Linked DNA regions of Rhinolophus ferrumequinum. The protein of the gene in region 2 purifies or fractionates together with the protein of the main gene of each other region. This does not show direct contact. Links are inferred from orthologs where the notes say so. Each region holds a gene or a part of one and is shown on either strand. Other genes may lie near its edges.

Region 1 (8,252 bases), on a different chromosome or scaffold from region 2:
AAAGGGATCTCCATATCAAGGAAACAACTATTTACCTGGCATTTGAGATCCACAAAGTATTACAGGGAATTAGCTAACTTCGTTAAGGAGATAGAACCAAGACAACATTTAATTTCAAAAGAGCAATAGTCCTACTTTGGGTCTGCCACATCATCCACAGCAAAAAAAGTATGGCTATACTTGAGGCGTAAAGGAAATAACAATGGCTCACAGGGAAACTGAACAGCAAACCCAAAAGAACCAGACAAGCTCGGCTTTTTGTTTCACAGAGGACACTAGCGAAAATGGATGAGTTTTGGTCTTAGAGTTGGACAGATCTGACTTGAATCCTACCTCTGCTATTTATTAACTATAACCTTGACTATGTCACGTAACTGAGTTTCATCATCTGCAAAATATGGGTAATTATCTACTTCACAGGATTAATATAAGGAACAAAATGAGATAACATAAGAAAAGAGGCTGGTATTCCATAGATGAAAATTAACCAATAGAATTGTTGACTCTACAGAAGAGTAGAGTCAGACTGCCAGGTTCAAATCCTGTCTCTACAACTTATCAGCTGAGCAATTTTCAGAAAGTTACTTGACATCTTTGCGTCTTAGTTTCCTCATCTGTCAAATAGGATTACAAATAATATAATACCTCATAAGATTTTGGTAAGGATTACGTAAGTTAATACATGGAAAAGTAGTTTAAAATGTAATGCCTGTTCAAGTGCTCAATACATTTTAGTAAATGTAGTATAATTCATTTACTAAATGTCCTGAGCAATGCTAAATTGCTCAATATATTATCAACCTTTGTTTTATTTGGTGGAACAAAGTGTAAGGAGAACAAAATGGTGAGGGAATATACTTATGTTTGCAACAGATGTGTATGTCCTTTTCATTTGATGCTAGATTAGTGACAGACAGAAACAGGGTGACAAGGGAGAATGAATGGCCCATTTAGGCATCTAACTGTGGATGTAGCCTATGCACACAGTCTGTGCTAAGAGACACAGCTGGATTTAAAGACCTGGCGTGTGTTTTAGAGGACTGGACCTCGGGGCTGTTCTGAGTATGGACAGTGCAGCACCCTAGATGGATCCCCAAGAATTTCTTGGGTCTGCACTGGAGTTAAGAGAAAGGCTTATTTAGCAAATGTAGACTTGGAAAAGAGTGGGGAAGTAAAAGGGGTGTGGAAGAAAGCTAAAGAGCCCCTTCTTAGACATAAAACAGGCTGACAGAAATGCTGGGTGACTTCCTCTTACTATCTTAGGAGTTAGAAACTAGAGACCAGGAACCACCACTGTAAGAATCTGCCCCATTGTCCTGTGGGTTGAGTTTCTTTCCTCTGCCCATACCCCAAATGGCGATTATACCTAACGATGTAGATCTTTAACACAAAAAGAGTTCAGGACATGTTTTCAATAGGAGAGGACAGGCTCAGTAGGAGGAGGAGCTGAGCCATCCCTCTCCTCTAGAGCACTGGGCAGCAGAGGCTGCAGTAGCCGAGGTCCAAATGGAGAGGAAGTAGGTGAATCTGTGCCTGTGGCTAGAGACGAGGAAGAAAAAGAGATGTTCTGGTCCCCAAACTGGGCCCAGAGCTGGACAGGCTGGGAAAAGCCTGCACTGGGCCCAAACATCCCCACGATGGTGCTAGAAGACTTTTAAGAGAAATGGCTCTTTGAGCACTGGGTCCTCACACCTTAAGAAATTTGGAAGCGTTGGTGTCTATGAAGAGAACATTGGACAACTTAGTGGTAGGAGTGTCTGGTTTTATTTTATTGAGAAATATGGTCAGAAGCAGAGTTTGGGCTCTTTTTCCCCCCACACCAAAACTTTCAGAGAAAATTTGGCATTTTAAATAATCGGAGAAAGTATTCATCCCATTCCCACTAGGACTCTTAGGATGCAGCTTGCACTGAAAGCTCCATTTCAAATTTACTAACACTGATCACCATCTTTCTCTATAATTTCTACAATGAAAATATGTATATAGACAGTCACTCATATGTGTGCTAAATAGTAGCCCTATGATGTCTTCTGCAGTTACAGATGCTTTACTGTTAGCTGAGATTCCTGCTAATCTGAAATACTTGGAAGCAATTTTTCATAACCTTGAACTACAAGAAGTCTAGCGTGCCCACTTGAAATGTATTCCAGGCAAGAAAATGGCTGGCTACTTTTTCCTGCCCCCTCACCTAGATAGATGTAGCAGAAGCCAGGATAATGATTGTATTCCATCTTCGGGCATTTTTGTTGAGTCTCTGATTTCCTAAGTAATTTCCTGTCCTGATCCTGGGTTTCTGCTTAACCTTATTAGCGGAGGTACAAGTCATGAGACTCTGGCACACTCAGTTCCCATCGGTGCTGCCAGGATCACAGCCCTTATGATGACGACGCACAGATGTATAAGGCCAGAGTGATTTTCGGGAGTGGGAGTGGGGGAAGGAGAACCACGCAGCCGGTAAGGTGTTTACGAAAACACATCCCCCACCCGCACTTTTTTGCAGCCTTGAGAGAAACTGGCATCTTCCTGCGTGCGTGTTAATTAATGTCCTGCTGGAAGTACATTCGCTCCCTCCAACTTGGCGGGTAGCAACAGCATCTAAGACCCTTGCAGACAGCTGAGAATGTAATCAAACAGCATCCTTCTTTCCCTTCCTCTGCAGCTCCCTCCTCCTTCCAGGGCCGTCTGCTGGTGGCCCAGAGGGGTGCGGATTTCACTGCCGCTGGCCTTCTGCTCCCCAAGAGAAGACCGAGGCGGGGCTCCCTGGGACGCCCCTCCCCGCCCACAAGGTGGGCGACAAGGTGAAGACACCACGACCCCTCCTCCTCTGCACTCACCTCTCGGCTCTGCTGGGAGAGCTGCAGGAAGGGGCCGCCGCTGGAGGGCTCTGGCCACCTTAGGGCGCAGCGGAGCACGCAGGATGCTGCGCGGGGCCGAGCGAGGGTCCGGCTGCGGCTGCCGGGGCCGCACTACTGTTGCGCAGGGGCGCCGACGCGACGGCGGGAGAGCGCGACACCCCCCCTTCTCTGTACCTGGACGCGCTCGGCGGCGGCTGCTCTGGATCCCCCGAGCGCGGCGGCGGCCCCCGGGCGACTCCGGAGGGCGGCGGGCGCGGCGCGCGCAGGATGTGCTGTCTCACGCTGCGCCGGCCGCTCGGCTCACGCTCCTCCGGGAGCCAGCACTTCCTCTCTCTCCCCGAGCCTGACACTGACAGCTCCCGGGAGCACCCAGTCTGCGGGGCTCGCCCCGCCCCCGGCCCACGCCCTCCACGCCCCGCGCCCCTCCCGCGGGAGCGCCTCCGCTCTCCCTCTCCCTCACCCGGTCTCTGGAGGAGGGAGTGGCGCTGGTCCAGAGGTGGAAGCGAGCAGGCAACCCGCGGAGGTCAATTGGTCTATCCCTATGCAATCGGCAGGACTCACACCTAAGTTGCTGCAAACAGAAGAGTTTCAGTGTTTTGGGAGCTCCTGCTGACATGCCAACATTAACCAACTTGCACTCCCAGACAATTACTTTAAGGTTATTTAAACAGAAATAGGAAGCTCAGATCCCATCCATCCGCTACACACAGACTTATATGTCTGATTTATCCCTATTTTTTCCCAGAAGAAAAAAATATCTATAGCTTGCCTCCACAACATTGTTTCTTAGAGTCCTAGCTTTTAAAATCCTGGTTATCCATTCTTGGACTGCCCCCAAACCTTGCCATAACTGCTACATTTTAAGGCCCAGGAATGGATTTTGGGATTTTAATCAACTCAGGTTTGGCATCACTATATAGGTAAGCTTTTCATCATGTTTCTTGAGTATCTATGTGTAATAATCCTAACTGGAACTTTAAGGGAACATAATCAGTTGGAAGGATCTGTGAGAGGAGCTAGGGCTTATGGAAATTCTCACACTCGAGAAATGGTGAGAACCCTATAGGAAAAACTCTGTTGATAATAATACTCTGTGGTTCTAACTTCCCTCAGACTTAACTTCCATTTTCCCTTATATAAATACCCTCCCTTGTATAAATGGCACTTAAGCCAGAGTGTGCACGTGGCTTGCCGTGTCTGCATGCAGTGGATTGCAACACTTTCTTCTTCCTGGAATAAATTCTTTTTGGTGACGAAACATGTAGTTGATAATTATTTTTCAGTTGACATGTTTGGTCATTGTACACATTAGAATGAAAGTTAATAGAGGGCAAGGACTGTATCTTATTCACTGCTGCATCCCCAATACCTACAACAGTGTTTGATGCATAATTGTTGCGTAAATGTGTATGAATTTTTTCAGTCAGCAAGTACTACAGTAATTTCAAAATAAATCTAGATCTGGTTGTAAATACAATACCATACTTATCTATAAAATGGCCATCCCTGTTCCAATTTTTGCCTACCTGGCAAATTATTGTGACCATAAATATGGTTAAAAAAGAGACAGGTGAAATATCTTTAAATAGAAAGAATTCAAGATAGTCCAGAAGAAAAACTCTATGAAACAAATACTTGCCTCTGCCATGTATTGGATACTTACTACAATCATGTACTGCTTAACAACAGGGATATGTTATAAAAAATTCACCGTGAAGTGATTTCCTGGTTGTGCAAACATCATAGAGTGTACTGTTAAAAAACAAAAGTTAACCAAGTAAATTTGAAAATCTGATTGGCTTTCTTAAGTGATTTATGAATCAAGCAGCATCCCATTTAGCAACTAAGTTCCCAGTACTCAGAGGAGTTGAACAAAATGGAAGGTTTTTATAAGAAGAAGGATGGGGCAAGGGAGCTATCAACAAAAGAAAACAAAGGATTAATTTTAGACCAGGACAGCTTCTCTTAGGAGGAAGGGAATAGCAAGGATTTTTATCATGCCGATTGCCTCTTCTTTCTATGGGGATGTGGGAGTGGATTGTGGAGAGGGCCTCAGTGACAGATTTCTTCATTGGTGTTGACCAGAAAATTCAAGACTGGTTTATTATGTTTCTGGGAAAGGTTCAAATAGCAATTAGGTCAAGTATTAAATCTAGGTTTGGCATTCAGGGGCTTTATGTTAGCACAAGTGATGCCTTTTTTTTTTTTTTTTTTTTGGCCTGTGGTTTTCTTTTTAACAGTATTTACACAAACCTATTTGGTATAGCCAACTACACACCTAGGCTATATAGTATAGTCTATTGCTCTGCAGGGGAGGAAAAATAATTTTTTCCTTACCCCTCTGTGTTCTTGACTGACACATCCTACAATAAAAGACAGATTAACAGGAGAAAAGGAAGTTTAATAACATGTATACCTCCCATATACATTGGAGAGATCCAGGAAAACTGAGTTAAAAATTTTTCCACGATCATGTACCCAGGCATAGTACAGATATTGGGTGTGGGACTGGAAGTGAATAAGAAAATAATGATCTCTACATTTTAGAGACTCAAAATCTAATGAAAAGACACAACTGGCTTTAACACCAAGCAGACTAGGAAAAGGATAACAATTGAAGACATTTGCCATGAGAGAAGGAGAAGAGGAAAATCCATTCCGGTTGGGAATCTTTACGATCTGGAAGGCCTCGTGGGAGAGGTTCTGGGTATATGTCTATAGTCAGATACAAATTTTGACAGATGGTCATGTGTGTTTGAGAACGGAGTTAAAGAGCAGGCAGAAACAGAGGCATAGACCTTATTTTTTATTGATAGATTTGTTTTTAGAGCATTCTAGGCTTACAAAAAAAAAAAAAGCACACTTGTACAGAAAGCATAGAGTTCCCATATACCCCCCTAAGAATTATAACTGCTCATTGCAAATATACCTGCTTCATCTCTTCATCTAGTTATTGCTCCAAATTTTGAAAGAAAGTCTCTAAGAAGGGATTAAGCAGCTACCACAAAACATGCTGGATAAATTCCTGACTTGCTAGCCACTAAAAGGTTGCTTTAGAATCCGTCAGAGAGACAATGGTATGGCTAAATGCCCCTACTCTGGAATCAGACTCTCTATCCACCACTTACTGGTTTTGTGTATTTGCGCATGTTGCTAGACTCCTCTGAGACTCAGGTCTCCTAGAAGTCAAAAGGGGGTAATAAAGATACTCATCTCCTGTGATATTTCACTGAGTTAATTCTTGTAAAGCATTTGGAACAGCCCCTAGCATATAATTACAAACATTCAATAAATGTTGGCCATAGTTTGCTCTTAGTAATCGAGTCGGCATGAAAAGTTCAAAAAGTGGAAATTTGTACCCTCTAAATTCAGTGTCTAATCTGTGACATTACCAGACTTTAGAGACCACTCAGACCTTGGGGTCACTACTATCCTTCAAGACAGATTTCTCTGTCTCTGTGCACCTATCGTTCATCAGTGCTGGATACAAACATGTCCCCACAGATGGTTCCCTTGTCTGCCTTACTTTCCTAGAGCCCCCCTTCACACAGGTTACCACGATACCCTTATATACCAGACCCCTGGATATCTGCCCAAGAATCTTTCCTGGAAGTTATTCCTCAGTTCATTATATCTTGGTCACGAGAAATAAAACTGAAAATTACCTCAGTGATCCGAAGGCCTGAAAATTACGGAAAAGAAACATGAGACATCTGAATCAGCTATAAAAAATATAAGGTGCTGAAGAAGGAAAAAAATGCTTGGAAATATTCTCTAGTTAAGATACGCCTCTACATCATGCTCAGAATAAAACCCTGTCAGGAAGCTAATAAAACCACCGCCCAAGGTCATATACCATTTTGTGTGGGGTATATATCAGAGGGATATGTTTTACATATTTTTCTATTATAAGACTGAAGTTGGTTTGTTTGCACCAAATCCAAACAATAACAGATGTCCAGAAGCCATTGCATTACTAATGTTTGAAGATTTATTAGAAATCAAAGAGTGATTTATGGGGAAATCAATGATTCCATCATCTAAAGCAACTCCTGCTATTTGTCTTTTGGATGCTTTTCGTGAATGGACGTTAACTATGGTTTCATATAGTAGGTGTAAAGAATCTGCAATAAATAAATAAATAAATAGACACATTTTTTCAATTTTGAAAGAATGAATTCAGAGATATCTGCTGTATAGTTTTAGATTTTTCTAAATGCTTTTTTGGATAACTTCCAAATGCAACTTCAATTATACAGTAATTACCTAAATGTGTAATATAATTGTATTATTATCAGCCATATTTCCACTACTTTCACTTTTGTCTCCATGTGTCTTTGCTCCTCCCACACCTTCTTACATTTCCTTCCATCAGCTTTTCTTTCCAGGATAATGGTAAGCCAAAATGTACGTGTTTTTAACAATCAATAATAAGATGCAACAATGAAAACATCTATACAACAAAACAAAAAACTTTTTAATCTTAAAAAAATTGTTTTAAGCACTAACATTGATGGGGGAAAGAAACCAATGATTACAAAACATAAATTATTTATGTTGTTTTCAATTCACTTTCCATCAGTGTTTAAATATAAATCATTATTTTTCCCAACTGTGAAATCAGCATCTATATCCTTGTTTGTGTTCTGCCTTGTTACTTGTTATTTCAAATTTATATTTCTAGGAATCAAATAAACCTACCCTACCAGAGGAAATGAATCATTTCTTCATTCACTACTTCAGCAGATATTTCCTAGAAACATATTTCATAGTTCTTGTAACTGGTCCTTGGAAGGATTGATCCTAATAGCTCTATCTGCCATAGCTCTCCCAAGACTTTACAAAATCATCTATATTTGTTTAGAAGTAATTAAATGTATATACACTGGTAATGTGCATGTGCCTTTAACCAGCAAACTTGAGCATTTTTCTTTATGGTGCTTTATTATCTGTTATTTCTCATGTGCTAAGTCTTAATATCATTTGATTATTTGAGACATGAAATCTAAATATTTTATGTATTTTAGAATATAAATTTTATATTTTACATGTTTCTCACTTTTCTTTCTTCTTATCTTTACTTCATTATAGAGTCATACCTTAAGAATAATTATAAAACAGTTTGTATAAAACAACACAATTTTATAGTATTAAAGGAATGCACATATAAATCAGTAATATTACATTGAGGTCAAGAACACAGGCTCTGGAGTCAGGCATACTTAGGTTAAAACTTCCTATGATTCACTAGCTGTGTAATTCTCTGCATATTGATTAAACCCTGTAAGCCTCAATGTCTTCGTCTGTAAAATGGGCATAATGGTATTAAGATTGTAATAGGATTAAATGATATAATGTTTATAAAGCACTTGAGTGTAGTGATTGGCACCAAGTAAA
Region 2 (7,791 bases):
AACATGAGACTCTTGTTTGGAATGCTAACTTAGCCTTTTAACTTCTCTTCCTCTTTCCACTCTCCTTCCTTTACCCTGCCCTCCATGGTCTGTTTTCCACAGAAAAGTCAATTATCTTTTTAAAAAATGTACATTAGTTTACCTTTGCTTCTGGTAATAACAGAGTGGCTTGTATCAGACTAGGACACACATACACGCACGCAAACATACACACCTGATTTAAGGCTTCAGAGAGTAGCCAAAGTGGGCAGAACTTGAGTAAACATGATCCTGTATAAGAAAGAAAACACATTGAGGTGAGGGCGGGTCGTCTCCACTGCTTTTTCTTAAGGAAATTCCTTAAGGAATTTGCTGATTTGCTTGGGAGGCATTGAAGCTGAGCAGAAAATGGTGGCCTAAAGTTTTGGTAATAATCACAAGGCTCAAAAATTGGAGTTTAGGATCTGACAAGAAAGGGAGATCTGGTCAATATTCTAGGGTTTCACTTGAGACACCTGAGGGACTATGATTTATGAGTAAGGGTAATCCAGAAATAGACCAGCCCACACAAAGCCTGGGACATCTCACTTCCTGACCGGATCCAATTATTTGACCCTACTCTAACTGCCTGAGGAAAAAAATCCCAAAAACAAAAGCCCCAGAAATTTACACCTCTCCTGGAGAAATAACGTTATCTAGAGCCTCTACAACTTTTTAATTTACCCAGCATCCAGCAATTAACAAAAATTAACAGATATATTAGGAGACACATCCAAATAAGCAAAAACCAAGAGAGAAAAAAAACAAGACGATAGCATTAAATCCAAAGGAGAAAAAGATATTGATATTATTATACACGGTCTCTAATACATTCAAGAAAGTAGATGGAGAACTAGTAACAATTTTAAAAAGAACCAAATGGAAATCCTAGAATTGAAAAATACAATGACTGAAATAAAAAAACTCTACAGATAGGTTTAACAGCAGGTTAGTATAACAGGAGAGAAGGTTAGTAAACTGTTAGGTCAGTAGAAAATATTCAGTCTGAAGTATGAAGTGAGGGAAAAAATGAAAAATACAGAAAAGAGCATAAGAGAATACAGCACGTGGTGTAAAGATCTAAATTACATTTAATTGGAGTCACTTAAGTAAATAGTAAATGGTTCAGATGCAATAGTTGAAGAGTTATTGATTACAGATTTTATAATATTAATGAAATACGTTAAACCACAGATTTAAGAAACTCTACAAGTCTTAAACCAAATAAATACAAAAAATCCCCACCTAGGCACATTGTAGTAAACCTTCTAAAAATCAAAGACAAAGAGAATTTTTAAAATTTGCCCTAGGGAAAAAACATTACTTTCAGAGGAGTAGTAATACTAACAGCTCATTTTCAAGATAAATGATGGAATCCAGGAGACAGCGGAAGTCAAGGGTACATGTTATAATCTTTAAATGACTGAAAGAATATAGCTGCCAATGCAGAATTTTGTACAGAGAAAAATATTCTTCAAAAATGAAGGTGGAACAAATGAAAACAGAGAGAATTCATTGCCAAGAGAGCTGCACTGAAAGAAATACTAAAGGACTGAAATACTTTCATTACACAGAATGAAAATGATCCCAAAGGAAGCAAAGAAATGCAGGAATAAATAAATGATAAGAGGTAAATGTGCAAGAGGTAAATGTGTGGGGAAAATACATGAATATTGACAGTATAGAACAAAAATAATATCTTAAGAGTTTAAAAATTAAAATATTTAACAATCATAACCAAAAGGCAGAAGAGGGATAAGTGGAGTTGAATTGTAAGATTCTTGCATTATCTGGGAAGTCGTAAATGTGTAAATTGTAGTAGACTAATAATTCAAGGATGTATGCTGTAATTTTTGATAACCATTAAAAGAATAATAAAATAATGTATCATTAAAAAGCCAATGGCAGAAATAGAATAATTTCAAAAATCTAAAAAAAGGTTTGAAATAGGGACATTTCTTAAAAATGTCTTTTACTATTTGCATTTCTTCTGCTATGAACTTATCTGTATCTTTTGCCCAATTTTATATTTAGATTGCTTCCTTTTTTATTGATTTTAGATGGATATTAATATACATACATAGAAATATGTGTATGTGAATGTTGCAAGTACTTTCTTGCAGGGATCAGTTTTAAATCTTTATGCCTTGGTCAGAACCCTAAGGGCCTGGTTTGACCACTTGATTTGACGTTAACGAGAAGAGGTCGGTTGAGTCTTAAGCTTTGCACCTAGTAGGTAGGAGCTCAACAAATGTCTAATGAACTGAATTGAGGAGGTCAAGGGGCTAAGCAAACATGGGGTGCTACATTACGGTCATTTAGGGAGTACGGAGTTATCTAAACCTGTGACAAGAGTAGCAAATGGTGAGTGTTTAAGGCCAACGAGGGAGCAGAAACAAACTGGGCTGGGAAGAATTACAGGATCTCCAGGAGAAGTTTCAGCCAGCCGCACACTCCTGTGCTGCCTGCGGCTCTGAGTGAGGAGGATGCCTGGAACAGAAACGTGTGATGCAAACCTAATCAAGACCAGCAGGTGGCACTCTAATGACCTCCCATTACTCTCAGACTCCCAGGGCAAAGACCGTTTTTGAGTGAGATGAGGTGGAAACTGACCCGGGCATAGGGAGCCTCCAACCCTAAATTTTAGGCTCTGTGCTTCCTCCAGAGGTGAAATCCCAAAGATCAAGAGTCCTGTGGTGTTTTTTTTAAATTTTTCTGTGCTTGCTTTGCCCATGGGTGCCTGTATAGCACCATCTGTTCAATTCAACTTAGACCAATATGGCTCAAACTTTGATGAGCAAACAAATTGCCTGAATCTCTTGAGAAAATGTAAATTATGATTCAGTAGGACTGGGGTGGGGTCTGAGGTTCTGCATTTCTAACAAGCTCCCTGGTGATGACTCACACTTAGTCATTCTAACATTTAGAACATGCTGCCTGTAAGGTCCCCCACCTCTGTGCAACATGGGAGGTGGGAGAGAAGCCAACCAGGACTCTGCCCTCAAATTTATAGCTTCCTAGAGTAAACTCCCACTGTAATGTGTACAATACAAGTTAGAGTGTGTCTACTTACTGTGTGACCTTGGGCAAGTTGCATGACCTCTTTGGGTCTCAGTTTCCTCATCTGTAAAATGGGAATAGTAACAGCCTCTACCTTATTTGAAGGTTAAAGCAGGATATTATATGTAAAGCACTTAGCACAGTACCTGGCACATAGTAAGCCTCAACAAGGCTTGGGGTCCACTAAGAAAGTATGGAGCAAGGCAGGGAGCCCTAGCGGGGTGGTAAACTGGAGGGAACAAGAGGTGAGGGACAATCTTCATGAAGGTGCCATCGTTGGAAAAGAAGGGGGTCAGGGAGGTGAGAACAGAGCCAGGAGGAGGGCGTGTCTCCAGATAAGGTGACAGACCTAAGGGTTGCTTTTGAGGGAGAGTTAATGATGGTGCAGGCTAAGCAGGCTTCCTTCTGGAAACGGATGGGGTGCACAGGAGCAGATTTTCAGGCAGATCAAGCTTCAGCTTTCAGCACACTCCCCCGTTTCACATCTGTAGGTGTTTTAGGGCATTGTGGGAGGAGCTAAGGGGAACCAAGGATCACCCTGGCCCTGCCCTCGTGCAAGGCTTTGCCATAGCCAGCCCAACCTCAGCCTCACTGCTATGGGTTCTCAGCCCTGGTACCTGAGTTTACCTATATGCTTTAAGAAGGGTGGTGTTTCCATAGCATCTTGAAGGTCCACCAACACTTATTGACTAACTTCCAGTGCTCTGCTGAATGCTCCTGGGGATACAGAGACAAATCCACACAGCCCCTACCCTCACTGGGTGACCCTGAGGAGATAAAACATCACCATGGGAAAGGAATCATCAATGATGGGCCTCAGCAGCAGTTCTTACAAATAGTGCTTTTCCTCTATGGTGAGACTAAATGACACATGAGAGCCGTAGCCACTGTGGATGTGACAGGTGTTCAGGGTAACTCTTCAGACCAAGTGGTCTGACCTGATACGGCCTGGAGGAGTGGGTCAGAGTTGGAGAGGCAGAAAGGGGGAGGAACACTGCCAACTGCTAAAGTGACACCTGGACTGTGTGAAGCCAATTACCCGTCATCTCGTTTAAGCCTAAACAATACTATGAGGTCAGTACTGGTTTTACCTCCATTTCATACACGGGGAAAATGAGACTCGGAGACGCAAAGCAGCTCGTTCAAGGTTTCACAGCTGGAAGTGGTAGGTGGAGGCTATCTGACTTGGTTTACTCTCTTAAGTACCCCGTATGTGCTGTGCATCTCCTCCCCTTAATAAGTGACAGCTTTCCCCCTTGCCTTTCCCCTCCAAATACAGGGACAGTCATACACGCCTGCAGTGGAAATGGGGACTTTTGAAGGCCTGGCTAAAGAGTTAGGACTTGAATTTCTTTTTTCACTTCCCCAGCACTGAAGTCTTGCTCAACTCCAGCTAAGCAATGAGGCTGGCAGGGTTGCCTCACTTCTAGAAGGCAGGCCCAAGCCTTCCTGGCCCAAACCCACTTCCTGTCCTTGTGCCTCGTTTGTCAGAAGATGATTCTCACGCTTCCTGTTGACTTCTACTTTGTTTCAGCTGGTTCAGTGACGTCCCCCCAAGGGCTGCTGTTGATCTGATCAGTGAAGCCTGGGACACAGGACCAGGTACATTGGGACAGTGGGGTTCTGCTCAGAGAGGGTCTGGGGAGGGCCGCCCTGAGACACACCAGAATGGGGGACTCCTGGTGGTCTGAGGACCCTCTCAGACCCCCATGTGACGAGGGACTGTCAAAGACTAAGGTCAATTTGTGAGGTTGGCTATGCTCCTGTGGGGGTGACACCAGGGGTTTGCTTTGGTGGCTTCCTAAATCACATTATCTGCCCATATCCCTCTGAGAATTCATCACCTTGATGTGGTTTTCTATTTCCTGGGCTGCCCAGGTAGCATTGTTCTGGGTTGTAGCAAGTGCTTCTTGGGTTCAGACAGGTTTATCTGGGACTGACTGAGACATAGTTGGTGTGAAGCTTGAAATTGTGCTGAGCTGACCAAGTTAGGGGCTTGTGGTTAAGTCCTAACTCCTTGTTTTTCTTGTGGGCAAGTCACTTCCCTTCCCTCTGAACCTGTTTCCTCGTCCACAGGAATGTCAAAATAGCTCTATGTTGTGGGATTTTTGTGATGCTTCAACAGGACAATGATTGTGAAAGTGTTTTGTAAACTGAAAGATGGTATTCTTCCAGGTTTTATTTCATTTTCTAAATGGAACTCGACTTTTTAAAAATGATAACATCATAGTTGAAAAAAATCCAAACCAGGCAGTGAAAGTTTTAACATAATTCCATCCCTGAAGATTACTAGTATTGACACTTTGGTGTATAGACTTCTAGAATAAAACAATTAAAAACAGTTTTTATTGTGGTAAAATACACATAACAAAAAATTTACCATTGTTAAATGTATACTTCATCACTGCCATCCATCTCCAGGACTATTTCATCTTCCCAAAGAGAAATTGTACCTATTGAACAATAACTTCCCATTCCGCTGTCCCCCTGGAACCTGGCAACCACCATTGTACTTTCTGTCTCTATGAATTTGACTACTCTAGGTACCGCATATGTAAGTGGAATCATATAGTACTTGTCTTTTTGTGACTGCCTTTTTCACTTAGCATGATGTCGTCAAGGTTGATCTATGGTATAGCATGTGTCAGAATTTCCTTTCTTTTGAAGGCTGAATAACATTTCATTGGAGTAGAGACCACGTTTTGTTTATCCATTCTTCTGTTGATGGACATTTGGGTTGTTTCTACCTTTTGGCTATTGTGAATAATGCGGCTATGAACATGGGTGTACAAACATCTGTTTGAGTCCTTCGAATTCTTTTGGGTATATACTCACAAATGGATTTGCTGCATCATATAGTAATTCTATTTTTAATTTTTTGAGGAGCCTTCATACTGTTTTCCACAGTGGCTGCACCATTTTATATTCTTACTAGCAGTGCACGAATGTTCCAATTTCTCCACATTCTCACCAACACTTGTTATTTTCTCTTCTTTTTTGATAGTAGCCATCCTTTGGGTATGCAGTGGTATCTCATTGTAGTTTTGATTTGCATTTTTCTAATGATTAGTGATGTGGAGCATCTTTTCATGTACTTGTTAGCCATTTGTATATCTTCATTGGCAAAATGGTCTATTTAAGTCCTTTGCCCATTTTTTAATTCACATTGTTTGGGTTTTTCTTGTTGAGTTATAGGAGTTCTTTATATATTCTGGAAATTAACTAGACTTTTAAATATTTTTATGTCAAACTCTACTTGCTATCCTGTAACCTTTTTCACTTAATATCTCTTGAGTATCATCTCATGTTAATTTATAAATATCTACCTTGTCTTTCTTAACAGCTGTGTAGTATTCCAGTACATGGGTGTACTATGATTTATTAAACCAGTCTCCTACCGATGGGTGTTTATATTGTTGCCAATTTATTGGTATAATTATAAACAATGCTGCAATAACATCACTGAACATACATTTTTGCATACAATCATTATTTCCTTAGGATAAATCCTTACAAGTTGATTTCTGGGTTAAAAATTATACATATATTTACAGTTTTAATTCCTTTTTCCAGATTCCTCTAATAAATGTCATACCACTTTATTATTTTCAATTTTATATCCACTTTAAAACAACACAAAGCTAACAATAAAAATAGCGATTCCCTGGCCCACTTTCCACTTCCTAGTTCTCTCTATCAGAGACAAACATTTTCAATTATCTTAGTTGTTTCTATTTCCAAATAAAGTAACTAATGTGAGTATTTTTTTCTATTTTAGTCATTATCTATTGACTTCTTATTATGAAAAGTAAGATATAGCGCTCTTATATCATTCTATCAACATTATTGCTCCCCGTCTTCTTCATATGGTTATATCACAAATTTTGGTTAAATCAATATTCATGTTTATGTTATGTAAGTACGTGATGCTATGACTATGTAAGCATTGTTCTCTGAGCTACGTAATATATTATTATTATTACTATTATTATTGCCTTTCTTTTGCCTATTTTCCCCTCTTTGAGTTGAAAGTTGCCTCGGTTTTTCATTTCCTTGATTTTTATATACATATCACTGATTCCTTTCCAACAGAGATATTAAAGTTCTCTCAATATGAACAGATACATCAGATAATTTCTCAGTTTCCATCTTCTTTTCTTTCGTTTATTCCTCAGACACATCTCCCTGCAGCCTTATCCTAATGCTCCAGTCTGGGCTGGTTGCTCTCTTTTCCTACTGCTCAGTGTTGTCCTGGCATACCCCTACCGTCATCTTAGGAATTCCCTTTTCACTCTCTTACGTAGGCCCTTTCTCTTTTTGATGCTACTTCTTTGTTTGTTTGTTTATACATTTTTAAAAATTGTGGTAAAATATATCTAACAAAGTTTATCATTTTAATCCTTTTTTTAAAGTGCTCAGCTCATTGGCATTAAGTACATTCATATTGCTGTGCAACCATCACCGCCATCCATCACTAGAACTTCTTTATCTTCCCAAGTGGACCTGTGGACCCATTAAACACTAACTCTGCAGCCCCGGACTGGCAACACCATTCTATTTTCTGTCTTTATGATTTTGAAGAGAATCATATAGTAGCTATCCTTTTGTGTCGATTCCCACATTTTCTTCTTCATTTATTTTCTTATTTTGGTGGCATACATTTTCTAATACGTAGGAAGTAAGTTTTTTGAGTTTTTGACTGTCTGAAAAAAG

What was found. Proteins that work in one complex are often made in the same cells at the same time.
Region 1: the proteins of NDEL1 (region 2) and DYNC1I1 purify together in Homo sapiens (affinity purification with western blotting; 3 studies listed by BioGRID and IntAct, with this or other methods). This does not show direct contact. The link is inferred for Rhinolophus ferrumequinum from reciprocal best matches to the Homo sapiens genes NDEL1 and DYNC1I1.

What each region holds. Positions count from the first base shown.
Region 1 is NC_046303.1:31,145,448-31,153,699, forward strand, and holds the start of DYNC1I1 (cytoplasmic dynein 1 intermediate chain 1), read right to left. Parts: upstream 3,276-8,252; 5' UTR 3,030-3,275; exon of another isoform or gene 2,835-3,029; intron 1-2,834. UniProt on the Homo sapiens protein: Acts as one of several non-catalytic accessory components of the cytoplasmic dynein 1 complex that are thought to be involved in linking dynein to cargos and to adapter proteins that regulate dynein function.
Region 2 is NC_046304.1:10,629,040-10,636,830, reverse strand, and holds the start of NDEL1 (nuclear distribution protein nudE-like 1), read left to right. Parts: upstream 1-4,548; 5' UTR 4,549-4,680; intron 4,681-7,791. UniProt on the Homo sapiens protein: Required for organization of the cellular microtubule array and microtubule anchoring at the centrosome. May regulate microtubule organization at least in part by targeting the microtubule severing protein KATNA1 to the centrosome.